Alligator mississippiensis: one gene and its partner. The protein of the gene in region 1 interacts with the protein of each later gene in a biochemical or structural test. Links are inferred from orthologs where the notes say so. Each region holds a gene or a part of one and is shown on either strand. Other genes may lie near its edges.

The links. The genes of interacting proteins can lie anywhere in the genome.
Region 2: of the proteins of KLHL12 (region 1) and DRD4, one has a biochemical effect on the other in vitro, tested with the Homo sapiens proteins (2 studies listed by BioGRID, with this or other methods). The link is inferred for Alligator mississippiensis from reciprocal best matches to the Homo sapiens genes KLHL12 and DRD4.

What each region holds. Positions count from the first base shown.
Region 1 is NC_081837.1:33,121,353-33,128,482, forward strand, and holds the start of KLHL12 (kelch-like protein 12), read right to left. Parts: upstream 3,009-7,130; 5' UTR 2,919-3,008; intron 2,425-2,918; 5' UTR 2,228-2,424; coding exon 2,045-2,227; intron 1-2,044. UniProt on the Homo sapiens protein: Substrate-specific adapter of a BCR (BTB-CUL3-RBX1) E3 ubiquitin ligase complex that acts as a negative regulator of Wnt signaling pathway and ER-Golgi transport.
Region 2 is NC_081825.1:183,349,169-183,356,171, reverse strand, and holds the start of DRD4 (D(4) dopamine receptor), read right to left. Parts: upstream 3,019-7,003; 5' UTR 2,608-3,018; coding exon 2,350-2,607; intron 1-2,349. UniProt on the Homo sapiens protein: Dopamine receptor responsible for neuronal signaling in the mesolimbic system of the brain, an area of the brain that regulates emotion and complex behavior.

The sequences.
Region 1 (7,130 bases):
CTTTAGATTTACCCATCTGAATCAATGTTAGCTGTAGCTCTGCCAAAGTCATTTTACTACTTAGAACAGGGATGGGGAAAATGGCAGATCCAGCCAACAGCTGGACTCCATTTCCCAGCAGCCTCTGCCAACAAGAGGCCAGGGTTTCCATAGAGACCGGCCCCAGCAGCACTGGCAGGGTGCATGGGCTGGGCAGGGAGGCTGCTGGGGCCAGTCTCCATAGAAACCCTGGCCCCACGCTGTCATGGCCCTGCTGCTCCTAGGGTCTCCATGGAAACCAGTTGCAGCAATGTGGCCAGGGGCTCCTAGGAAATGGAGTCTGCTGCAGGCCTGATCTAGCCCGGACTTTGCCCGTCCCCGACCTGGAACAAGAACATGTCTTTAGTGTAAACTGCAAATATCAAACTCACCCAGCCCTGTGGGCCAGATGAGTAAAGCAGGGCTGGTCTGCTAGGGACCAGTGGTTTTCAACCTGTGGTCTGCAGACTATATCTAGGAGGTCCGTGAAAGATGACTATGATCAAAAGCAAGTGAATACCACACTTAAAATTCAAAAAGGTCCACGCCTCCATTCAAAATTTCCAAAGGGGTTCAACAAATGAAAAAAGGTTGAAAACCACTGTGCTAGACAGATTTGGCCCAAAGACCAGCCCACACACAGATGCAGCATAGGTGCTAGATCTGGCACCGCTAGTGTAGGCTAATACAAATAATAAAACAACAGTTTCTAATCAAGAGAGCACTACACTGGGGTTCAGGAGATCAATGTTATATTCTTGGTTCTGCTACTGACCTGTTCTATGATATTGAATGAGATGCAACTCATCTCTGGACTGGTTGCCTACCCAGCTCTCTCTCACTCTTATTTATTTAGGTTGCAAACTCTCTAGGCATTGTTTCTGGTTATACAGCACTTAACATAATAGGATAATAATCCCATTTGAAATCTTTAATTACTATTATGATGTAAATACCATGATCAGAAAGACTGTTGGATGACGAGACCACTGGGGGAATGTTTTTCGTTTGAAAGCTTTGAGTCCTTAGGCTTTCAATAACCTGAGTAGTCAGAGCCAGATCCTATTCTACCTATAAGAATATACATGATCTTATTGTACTCTCCTTCTGAAAAACAGTTAATGCAAGAAGTGGATGGATCCTCTTCCTGCTCACAGTTTCTTTTGACTTAGTCTGTCATCTTAGCCTTCAGACCATTACAAGTGCGCACAGTAACATTTTTCTGGCACTTGAACCAGGTAGAATTGGATAACACTTGGTTATATAATACACATAATAAAATCTAACCTTTCAAGATGAAAGCAAAATCCTTTCTAGAACAAAGAACATGCAAGAGCTGGATGAAGCATACACTACATTTTGGTACAGCAGGAGGCTGACGGCCATGAAACAGTAAAAACTGCCAGTCGCCACTTCTGCAAGGCACTGCTAAACTTCAGCAAGCTTGCTAAAAAGCCGCTAGCTAGTTAAAGCTGAGCAAAGCAGCTGCAAGCTTTGTCAAAGTAGAAACTTTGTCAAGGACAATAAGAAGATGCTCAGAAAGAGAAAAAAAGTGTGATAAGAAAAGTATAACAGCCTTGGTGTGTCTATGCAGACAGAGTTTTAGAAAGATAACCAATAGTGAAAACTCAATTAGGCAAATAATCTATAAAATGGCCAGTAGTCTTGGCAACAGTCATGGTAAAAATAATAAATACGCAACTAAAAAGGCATAAAAAAAAGTTTGGGAACAAGAGGCCGCTGGATTACTAAACCGCTGGGTGACTAGACTATGCCCCAATGAGACCCTGAATTGTCTAATATCAAGGATACGGAGGAAGACTCGCTTGCAAAGTAACCAGCGCATGTCTAGGTATAGGAGCATGTGCTATCTGCTGAATAAACCTACATTAGCAAGGTGGAAACTCCTGTCTCTTGAGCACTTTCTCAACAACCCCCTGGATCCCCAGTCGGAGGTTTTGAGACACCAGCCACATTCGTGACAGACACGGATCCAAAGTCCTTTTGCGACAACTGCCTGGCCTACCTCGCTGGTGAACATTGCGCAGAAGTAATCACTGCAAGCAGCCAACACAATCCGATGGGCTGGGAAATCCTTCTGCTCCACGCGCAGGGTCACGTCACAGAGAGTATTGCTCTTCCGCAGGGAATTCATTGCGTTGAGGATGGACTTGGCGTGCGAGTTAGTCATGATATCTTTCGGAGCCATAGCGTCAGCAGCATAGCACGGAGAGCGGGAGGCGCCTCAGCTCCCTGCGAGCGGAGAGAGCAGAGCCTTACTTCACCGGGAGCGCGGGGAGCCTCCGACACGGAGGCCGCAAACAGACGCCACTTGTCGAGGGGCGAACCGTTTCATCCGGGCTCAACGTGCCGCCATTCGGACGCCCGCGCCTGCTGTCACAGGAGCTTCATAGGACAAAAGGGCACGAACAGTTAATGCCAGGACAGCGTCTGAAGGCTCATGCCAGGTTTCTGGCACAAAAGTGACAGCTAGGGCGACCATCGTAGAGGATAGTTCGGTTGTCCTCTATTGATACGAAACCGGACGCCGTTATGTCCTCGATTTTTCTCTTGAAATGGACATAAGGCGCTGGGTTTCCTATCAAGAGAGGGCAGAGTAGCAGAAAACCGGACTGTCCTCTAGGATGGCCACCCGAGCCTGTGTGGAAAGGTCCATGTCGGCACAGGCCAATCCCGGGATCTCTGCTCCGGGATAAACCCAGGCACCAGCTGTCCCGGGACAAAGGCAGCACCTGCTCCTGGCTCAGGAGGCCGGCGGGGACCAGTCTGGGCGGCTAGAGCCACCGCGGGCGGGGCAACGGGCACCTCTCCACCGGGTGAGCACAGCCCCCTCCCCTGACGGACACACCCCGCCCGCCGGCCCCGCCCCGCGGACACACCTCAGCCCGCACCGCGCCCGCAGCGGGGAACGGGCCCGGCGCCCGCTGATGGCGTCACAGCCCTGCAGCCGTTCGCGCCACGTGATCTGGGCTCCTGCAACGCGCGCTGATGGCGTCACGCGCGCCGCACCGCCCCTTGCTCCACGTGACCCCCGAGCGGGCGCGTGGTCTTGTTGCCGCGGTTACTTCACGTCAGGGCCCGCCCCCTCTTCCAGCTTCAGGTTTTTGCACTGCGCAGGCGCGTCCGAACTCCGTGCCGCACGTGCCTTTTGTCTCGGTGGCCGAGCGCGGCGGGGGTCCTGCCCGTGCCCATCGTGTACTACTGTTCCAGGTGGCCCCGGCTCTAACGCGTGTCCGGGCCGGAGGGATGCTGAGAGCCCCGAGTCTACACCTGCACCCTCCGTGCGACTGGAGCCAGAGCCGGGCATCTGTCTGCTGAGCACCCCCTGGCCCCTGCACAGGCATGCTTTTGCAAACACTACTCGCAGGGTTCTTGGTTGTCGCCGTGTTGGTCCAAGGACACAGGCAGGCAAGGCTCTTGGGTAGATGCGATCTCTTTCATTAGACCACCTGAGTTGTTGGAGGAAAGTTCTTGGCAAACTTTGGGGCGCAAACGCCCTTCTTCAGGCACCAAAAGTCTCTGCTGCTCCGCGACTCCCGAGGAACGAGAGACGCTAGAAGTGTGGCAGGAGGTCGGTGAGAAGGTAAATGGGTAGAGATTAGAAAGACCAAGAGTAAAGCAGAGAGGGGAGGGGAAGAGAGCAGGGGGAACAAAGGCTAAAGGGAGACATTACAGAGACAGACTGTGAAAAAGCCTCTCTTCACTGCCTGACATCTGATTCAACAGGTGCCTGCCTGACCTGACCTCTTTTCTCCCCTCCCCTCCTTTTCTTTCCTTTGTCTCCCTGATTTCCTACTATTTCCTTCTTCTTTGAGAGCCTCTTTCTTACCCTGTTTTATTACCTCTGTAATGTTTTGCTTTGGCCTTTCCCCCCCCTGCTCTTTTCCCCCTCCCCTTTTGTTTCTCCACTCTAGGTATTTATATACATCCTCTCGCACTGTGAGCTTCTCTCATTCCTGTTGCCCTGATCTCCAGCTATTTCCTTTTTCAAAGACGGCCTCTTTTCCACCTTGTAGTCTATCACTGTAATGTCTCCCTTTAGCCTTTCTCCTCCTCTCTCTGCTTTACCTTTTGTCTTTCTAATTTCTCCCTATTTACGTTCTCACTGACATCCTGCCACACTTTTAGCTTCTCTCATTCCTTGGAGTCTCAGACCAGCAGAGGCTCCCTGTGCCTGAAGAAGGGTAGCTGCGCCCAAAAGCTTGCTAAGAACTTTTTTTCCAACTACTCAGTTGGTTTAATAAAAGATATCACATCTACCCAACAAACCTTGCCTGCCTAGTCGCTCTAATAAAAGATATTCCTCTGCCATGAGTTTTGATTCCTTTCGTCTCTAGACCAATGCAGTTACAACCTGGACACCTGACCCCTATGGAGTCTGAGCCAACAGGATCCCAACCTACAGACGTAGTTTACGGAGAACATTATATATGGAGCATCTTTACCACAGCGCACGTCCCTATAGTACAGTTCACAACAGCAGCCTTAAAGGGACTCTTGCCAACAACACTTCTACTGGAAACTCATTTAATGGCAGCACTTCAACATTAGCTCAGAACATAATGAAGGAAATTCTAATCTGAGTTCTTAATTCCAAAACACAAATGACACCAGTTGCTCATTTAAGGCTTTATCTTGCAAGATGCTGAGAATATTCAGCTCTGCGTATAAGCTGCAGAAAAGCTGCTAGAGCTGAAGAATGTTTAATATGAAGAGCCCACAGTATTTAATAGAGATTGTCATTATGGGGGATCACAAGCATTAAAGCAGATGGTGAGACTTTGGGAGAGGAATGTGCCCTTTTAGGTCAAAGCTGGATAAATAGTGGTGTCTTCACAGCATAGAAACCACTGAGAGGGTATAGGAACCGTGTTTGTTCCACATGCTAGAAGTTGCTATGCCCCGGGCTCTGGTCCTACAGGTGGCTGTTTGCACAGAACTGAGCTTTTTACCCTGCTATTCAGATTGCCTAGTTCAGCCCCAGATCCAAAAGTAGGTGTCCCACAAAACTCAAAATCCTTGATCCAATTGGTTTAAATAAAAGTACAGAAAAACAGACCTCCACCAGGTAGAACTGTACTGTGGGGGGTGGCAGAGCTGAGATTCAGCTAGGGTTACCCATCCTGCTTTATCCTTGGGCCCCATATCTTGCAAGGGAGATGCCTGTGGGTGCATGCACATGTGAGAGAAATTGGAGCTCAGCAGTAGTGGACCAGGGACCATGTGCTGCTTTGCCTAGGTTTGCCACCAGGAGGATTTGAGAAGACAGAGCTGCATGCAAGCCACCAGCACATTGAACAAATACTCTGGAGCCTGGTCTTTTTGTGGAAGGTTCCCCACCACCATCTGAGTTCAGGGAAGAGGGAACTGGTGTGATGAGCCAACCAGAAACACAGCTGCCAAACTTGAAGAAAGCAAGCTAAGACAGTGCCACATCTGGGCTTGCTTCTTCCCCCCATGCATGCCGTGCTGTCTCACCCTGAGAGTGGAGCTCTTCAGGTTCTCAGACACGGTACAGTCACCCCTTATTGGAAAGTTATCTGCCATAACAGCTGGCAGGAGCATAGACCAGCACCAGCAGCAAGGACCTTTGAAGGAATGGGACATCCTCATTGCCCCATGGTCCCTGTCCACTTCCCAACCGTGATTTGGGGTGTTAGCTTCCTTCTACTTATCAGCTTTAAATGCCCTGTCTCTCCAGAGCCCCCATGGTTCCTCCACATTAAGTTTCATGCCCCTGTCCTGCCATGCCTCCTCCTGCATAACCCCCTCTGCTGTCCTTGGACTAGCGCCGCACAGCAACCCAGAGGCAGGATTGCAATCTGGCTAGCTTGAGGCCAATAACAGTGGAGCCACAAAAGCACAGGTATAAGTTGGGGGCTGTAAAACCTGACCTGAACCATGGGGAAGAAAGGTCTAGCATTTCTGTCAAAACTGCAAAAGAGGCATGTAGTCACATGGAAAATTAACCCTGTACAATCTTAGTGGATACAAAGTGTCCCCTAGCTTTACCTCAGTGTAGCTGGCTAAAATCAACCCTATGCCCCTTGAATAGAACTGAAGCTACTCCCTAACGGTCCCAGAATGCTGTGGTGACCAGATTATAGCAGTTTATGATATCATTTTGTATAGTTTAGATCAGTTTGATAGTAGGGATGCAAAAATATAGCCCAAGATAAGTTTGCCCTAAACAAACACTTGAGAGCCGCTAGAGGACAGTGCCCTACTGCTAGTTTTGAAGATTTTACTTTCTCCCCAGCCAACCTGCAAAACTAGTTCATCGGGAAGGGTAAAAAGCCAGAAGTGCATATAACAAAGAAATTTGGGCAGGCCAGAGAGGATCTCTTGCTCTCTGCAGTTGTTATACACAGTATATGATTAGGGAGTCAGGATGAAGACTTAACGGGCATCCTCTGTCTGAAGAAACTACATCTGTCTAGGTTACCATCAAGAGATCTGGATGGTGGTACATCACTGGTCACATAAAGTGTATAAGTATTTAGATTGTTCTTGTTCTTAAAATTCCTTTTTTCCCCCTAAATGTTTTGTTACTATTGCAAAATACTAAATAATGCTTTGGTTTGAAATGGCTACCTGGTCTGTATACTCGCTGCTACTCTCAAGCTCCCAGAGGAAAGCATCACAGGCATTGAACCCAGTCAGGCCTGTTATATGAGCGTAGTCAAGACACTGGCTTTGGGAGTGCAGAGTCCAGTTTAACAGCTGGAGGATATCATGATTTCACGCTAGAAAAGATAAAAAGGCATAAGATGTGACCCATCTTGCACAGATGGCCCTGGTTTCGGGGCATCCTCAGAAACCAGCAGGAGTGAATATATGTAGATACCCTTAGAATCTAAGGATATCTGCAGGGGTATAGGTTGTAGCCATGCAGGGGTATGGGTTGTAGAATAGCTCTAAGGCTATTATTATATCAGTGATTCCGTCTATAGGGTACACCTTCTTTAATTAGCTGTCTGTGTCTCTCCAAATGACAGGTATTCAGGCAGAAGAACGTGTGGTTATCTTTAGTTGTGTGATATTTAGTCTGAACAATTTGGTCAACAACCATTATTATATATAGCTTCCAA
Region 2 (7,003 bases), on another chromosome or scaffold:
CCTCCTTGTGCTCATCACAAAACTTTAGGATGGTTTTACCATTGATCCTGCCCTCCTGAAGGAACATGTGCATCAGATTGTCACAGCAGATTCCCAGAGGTCCATGGACCTAGCCAGGCAGGTAAGAGAACCCCAAATACTGCATCTTGGCCTCTGGGGTCTTCTACCGACTTCCCCCAGTTTACTCAATTGCATACAGACCCAACTTGCTCAGGTTCTGGGCTGCAGCCTCTCTCCACTGGTGCTGTCCTAGCTTATATAGCCTGATACACCAAAGTATGAACCCCAATCCTGTTTACCTCTTTTAGCCCCACCTCTGTCCCAATAGACCCTTACTCTCTTAAATTAGCCTACACACTCCAGTCTTTATTCTGTGCACTGTATCCATCAGCTGAACTTCCACCAATTGGATGAGGGAGATAAAAAGAAAGGGGATAGATCCTTGAGCAACACATCCCATGCTTTCTGGCTTTGCCTCCAAGCTGGGGGCTGCCAGGCTACTTACTGGCTCTCAAACAACTTGGGCTCAACTGAATTTGATATTTGGAAGCTTTGTTCTGTTCCTATTTGAGCCCCTAGATGGAGACTCACAGGGCTATTTGAACCTGCCAAAGCTTTTGGTTTTAATTCCCCTGTTCTACAGGTAATCCACCTGCAAAAGGGGAATTGTATGTCCTCCCACGCCCCAGGTTTAATTACAGTGCTGAAAGCTCCTTGATCCTCAGAGGACAGGTGCTGTCTACAGCAGAAAAAAATAACGATATTCCTGTCCTGTTTCAGTAGCATTCTGCAGTGGTCTTCATCATAGGATCTCCAAGGCAATGTCAGTGCTCCTGAAACCCATCTATTGGGTTTCAGCAAAATAAAATGCATTATAACTATTATATGGCTGAGGAAATGGAGACCCAAAGAGCTAGAACAACTTGACCAAGGTAGCTCTGCAAGTTACAGCTCCAAACCGGACCTACCTTCTGAAACCTGGTCCCTTGTTTCAGCCATTAGACTTGCTGCCTTTACATTGGACCTTCAGCATTTTAAAAAGTAACATAGGACCTGATCCCAAACCCACCGAAGTCATGGACTCTCTCCATTGACTTACACATGCTTTGGATTGGGCTTATAAGCAAGAGAGAAAGAGAGAGAGAGAGAGAGAGGGAGAGAGGGAGAACACGCAGGGAGCCACCACTTTTCAAGGAATTTATGCCAGCACGTTTTCCCTATTCAGAAGAAATTATGGAGAGTAAACAGACCCAGACACTGCTTTTACAGCTGTGAGTTTAAGGGAAAGGAAAAGAAAAAAAAAATCCATGTGCCTCCATCCCAAAACAGTATTTCCATTGCCTTGGAATGACCTTATTTCTTTCATAAACTGCTTTTCTTATCCCCGAGATACTGATCAGCTTACGGTGGACTGCAGAAGAATGCCTCTCCCTCCCCCCAGCAAGAATGCATCTGGAGAGCTGTTCGCTGAGAATTTGCTTCCTGAGACCACTGAAGCCAGTGGTATAGTCTTTCCACCAGCCTGGAGGTCCTCTGGATCCCTGAGCTCACACAGTATCATACCACTTTCTATTCATACCTCCAAAGGAGACAAAAATCCCCTCTCTTCCCAACCAGTCCTTCTTGTTTATGTTACACTTAACTTTGTAAATATGGGGCTTTTTTACTCCTTAACACACTGCTGGGACAGGACCATACTTGGAGGATGCCTGTCTCATATCCAAGAGGTCTGACACACACAGTTCTGCCTTTCGGTCTATTCCACACTAACTCCTCTCTGGCCCCGGTCACACGGGGGATACAGTCTAGCCGCTGTCAGACAGAGCTTTTGGCTGGGGTGCCAGCAGGACCTCCCTGCTCCAGAGGTCTCCAGTATCGGGGTGTCATACACTGGACTGGCAATTCTCAACCCTGGGGTGCTGCAAAATTATTTTAAGTGTGTTGCATATTAGCTCTGTTAAATCCACAAGCCCAGAGACTGTGAATGGAAATCCACAGTGTCATGAGTGCTCTCGCCTGCCGTGAGCTCCCTGGAGTCTTTGCCACAGGAGAATCGCTCTCTTATTCCCTACCACAGGAAGGAGGCGAGTGAAAGCTCAGAGCTGGCATTTTCCACAGGGTGCCTCGAGTCTACCAAAAAGTACACGGGGTCTCAAGAGGCTGAGAGCCACCGCAGTAGCCCCAAGAGTCCCTGGCTCCTACAGCCACCCACCTACACCCATGAGCTGGCTCCGGGCTCTTGCCAGGAAGCCGGGTGGCCTCTCAGAGGGAACCCAGCTGGGCAGAGCAGCTCCATAAGATGAAGACCACAAGCCTCAAGCCCAACCAGCCCTAGCGACCCCAGCTTACCTCCGAGTAGACATAGAGGGGCAGGACCAGGATGGCCAGCAGCAGGTCGGCCACGGCCAGGCTGACGATGAAGTAGTTGGTGGTGGTCTTCAGCGCCCGCTCCATGCAGACACTGAGGCAAACCAGCAGGTTCCCACAGATGATGAAGAGGATGAGGAGGATGCCCAGCACCAGGGCGGCCACGTTGTGCCCGGGCTGCCCGCCCGGCACCTGCACCGTGGCATTGGATGGGTCCTCCTCAGTGCCATTGCTCTGCATGGCTGGGGCTCGGGGGGCACCTTGGCACCCCCAGCCCCTGGCTCCTTTAGGGGGCTCCCTGTAGCTCCTTCCAGGGGCCCCTCATGGAGGGGAAGGGTGGGGTGAGCTTCCCTCACTTTAAGGCTGGGGCTCACACGCCCCCATGGTCCCTGCCGGGGCGGGCGGAATGCGGGCACCCGGCACCAACCCCGCGGCTGCAGAGCAGGCTCCGCTCGCTGTCAGCGGTCACCTCCCGCCCGCCGAGCCGCTTAGGGGGCAGCTCTCGGCCGGGACAGGGCGGGCTTCTCGCGAAGAGCCGCTTAAACGGGGTGGGGCTTCAGGTCCTCAGCCACGTGGGCCCTGCGCCCCGCCCCGACCTGAGACCTTCCCCCTGAGCTGCGCCCCCAGGGGGGCTGGCCCTGGCCCTGGCTGCGGGGAGCCTTGCCCGGCAGGAGCAGCGCGTGCCCCCGGGAGGAGTTGTCACCCGAAGCAGATGAGGCGCCTTTAAAAAAAACACAAACTTCTGCTCCTGACATCACAAGCCCCGCGCTGTGACGTCATAATGCAGGCCCAGCCGGGGGTCAAGAGTCGGAGGGAAGCAGGGCTGGAAGGGACCTTCCTCGAGGCATCTAGCGCAGGTTTTCTCATTGGCAGCGCGCAGGGGGTGCCCGCGGGGGCACATGCATCCCCTGAGCTTGGCGGTGTGTCCCTGCAAAAAGCACAGTCACTGCTCGCCACCCCCTGACTCCGCCGGTGGCATCTGCGGGCGGTCCCCGATTGGTGCTGGATGCCGCCAGGTGTCTGCGGGTGGTCGCCGACCGCTGCTTGGCGCTTACCCCCACCCTGCCACCGATGCTGCCACAAAGCCTGCAGGAGCTTCCTGCTCACCACTGCTACCACCACCTGTGGACGGTCACTGTGCCCCCCAGCCTCCGGGGACACTTGGCATTCATGACCCAGGGGTTGTAACTAGGGTCCAGTTGTCCTCTGTCCTCTATTGATATGAAACCTGATGCCTTTATGCCCTCTATTTTTTGGTTTCGTATAGATAGAGGACAGAGTAGTAGAAAACCAGAATGTCCTCTATGATGGCCACCCTAGTTGTAACTCAAAAGTGGACTGCAACAATATATGAAAGGGTCACAAACAAACTTGAAGAATGCATTCTCCTTTTAAAGGAGAAAAACATGGGGAATTGTGGCTTTTCCCTTGCAGGCTGGCAGAGCTCCAGCCTGCCAGGCGCTGCTTGGGGCTACTTACCCCCCCCCACCCCCTGCCCTGCACACTGGGGGCAGAGGGCAATGGGTTGGGAGTGGGGCACTGGGTCAGGACTGGCCACTGATGTTTACCAAAGGGTCCTGATATAAAAAAGGTTGAGAATAATTTCTAGAAGACCAATTCAGGCTCAACATTAGGAAAAACTTCTTTACAGCTAGGGTGTCCAGACTGTGGAATAGGCTCCCTCCAGAGGTGGTATAATCGCAATCGCCTACCCTGGGAATCTTCAAGAGGAGACTGGACGGTCACCTCGCTGGGGTCACCTGACCCCAGCTGTCTTTCCTGCCTGGTGCAGGGGGGGCTGGACTTGATGATCTTCCGAGGTCCCTTCCAGTCTTATAATCTATGAAAAAACCATGGATCTAATGCAAACCTGTTCCTGAGGCAGGATCATTTCTCTCCAAAGCATCCCATACAACCATAATAGAAACTCTGCATAAGACTGCCCTCAGCCCTGACAAGGTGGAGCCCAAACCCTTGTCACTCACACAACAAGACTGGCGGGTGGTGATCAGTGTCACACTGGCTAAAGGGTTCTTGGTTGTAGCTATGTTGGACTAGGGACATCGGTAGATAAGGTGCTTTGGGTAGATGTGATATTTTTTTATTAGACCAACTAAATAGTTGGAAAAATTGTTCTTTGGAAGCTTTTGGGCACAAACATCCTTCTTCAGGCTCAAGTCACTCTGGGCTGTTCCCGTGCTAACAGACCTGGCACTGAAAAATGACTACAAAAATAATAATTCTGGCGTAAATGATACCTCTGCTCCCTTCCCAAGCTTTCCATGTATCTCCAGGTGACTATAGTGCTCCAGTTCCCAGACTGTTAGGACTCATTAGGTTTTTTAATCAGAAGGACAATACACCAACGTTTTTTGCTCTGCTACTGCTGCTGTTTCGCTCTTTGATTAGCCAGGCTTGGAGTCTAGCGATAATTGATTGGCATATCTGTATTCATTAGCCAGGACTTTCTGGGTCAAGGAAGCCTGATGTCGGAATGCATCCCTGTCTCTTCTGTGAACTGCTGAAGAATGAAAAGAGACAATGTTTGTATTGAAATCTGAAAACTCTAATTAAAAAAACCCTCAAACCCAAAACAACAAACAGCAACAGCGTAAATAGCCACTGGAAGAATGTGACTGATTGGCATCATGAGTGAAAAGTTAGCATGAGTCCCCTCCACAATGAACACAATTAAGTGGTTTGGAGCCAAAACTTCAGTTGGACATACGATGGGTTTATCTGTTGAAACGAATGTAGTTGTGCCTAATTGTGGCTGCTGAGAATCAAGCCTTGGGTATACTGCGGTTGTTTGTTGTGGTGTGGTCCTAAGGCTTTCTCAGCACCCCTTGACTTGGGAATGGCTGATGTACAAGGTATGCCACCCCAAACAAGCCACCCTTTGTATCCCATTGTTTCTTCATGCAGACTCTCTATATAGAGACAGGGTTAGGCAATCTAGGGTTCTGTAGCTATAGCTCTACTTCTGCCCCCACTTTTGAAGTGGCCAAGGGGCCAGTACCCACCCCAGGAGCTGTGAGTGTCTGCTTAGCAGTGTGGCACTGTTCCCTGCGTTCTTCTCCAAGTTTTCTGCTAGTATGGGATCATCCAGAGTGGTGCAATAAGGCCCATCACTGAGATGCATGAGGCCAGTAAAACTGCTCAGAGCTCAAGCTGTTTGCAGATGCAAGCACACTTCATTGCATTGGTTACACCTGAGGTACTTTTCAAGCTTTTCTTCACAAGTACAAGGGCTAGAAAGGTTCATTTGACTGGGGCCACAAAGCTTCTGTCTTAGCCTGGCAGTGTGCATATACCACACGTCTTCCAGATTATAGCACAGATTAATATAACTTTGCCAAATCTGTCCATCTGTGCAGCCAGGCACCATAGGACCCTGCCTGCTATGATAACTAAAACCATGGTTCAAAGTTGATACCATTTTCTTGGAAGTCCTGATGTTAACGTACAGTACCTCACAGTGCAACAGGGAAAGATGCTCAAGCTGTGGACCACTGGAAAGCAATGGCTCCCAGCTCCCCTTTCTAGCCATAATGGTACAGCAGAAAGTGGATTTGAAGAGCCCAATCCAAAATCAGTTGAACCGATTTTGAATTAGATTCTTAATCTGTCACTTTCCATCCTGCAGTTCAGGTTTGAAATTTGGGGGGATGCTGGTGCCTGATCCTTTTGCATTGGGGGAGGGGGAAGGCTGCCAGTAACTCATTTGGTTACAGCTACTCACAGATTTCAGTTATTAAAGAATAATTTATTTGATAATGATATGTATGGAACAAAAATCTCTCTTTGGGAGAAGCAAAGCAAAGGTTTACAGTACCGAGCATGGAAAAGCCTAATAATCCCATTTGCAGCCATGGCCTGCTGCATTCATGTGCAAGATTTATCCTCCTTGAAAAGTGCATCAGTGTTTTAAGGTGGTACACATGAAATTCTCTTTCACTATAATTGTCTAGACTTTGGATGATGCGTAACTCATAAATTAAAGTTATTTCTTTTGAAGCATTGGGCTTTTCAGATTTCCCGGTAATGAAACCTGATTTGTGATGTCTAAATCTTGTATGAAGGTCAGCATCAAGGTTTCTTTGCTTATTATTGCCTATTTAGGAGCAACGGAATGAAAGTGCTCAACAAAAGGGATTCTTGCTTGATCTTGATTCATATTTGATGAATGTACAATGGATAGGGAATGTAAAACAAACACATGTACGTGAGTGTCTGCACTATGCCTACTATGTCTTATTCTTTTCCACCTCTATAAACATCTTCAGTAGCCACAAATAGATTTTTAACTAACCAAATAAAAAGGACTGATATATACTGCACAGGGCATGCACTTCTCCTGTCCACTTACTACCAATAAGAAGGGTCTTGTTCTTTCATAGTTGTGCCTCTAGCATCCTAGCTGGAAAAAAGTCCTCATATGCCATAACATTTAGCCATGTCTTGATATCCACAAAACAGCAGAATTGAAGCACATAATGGCTGCTGTGGACTATGCTTCTCTCCTAGCCCCGGAAGGAGAGGTGGAGTGCATCCTTCAGAGGGACAGTTAGTTTTATCCCTGTTAGGGCAGTAGAACTGCAGTTCTGTAGCTGCAGCTAGAGACTAATGCTGAGGA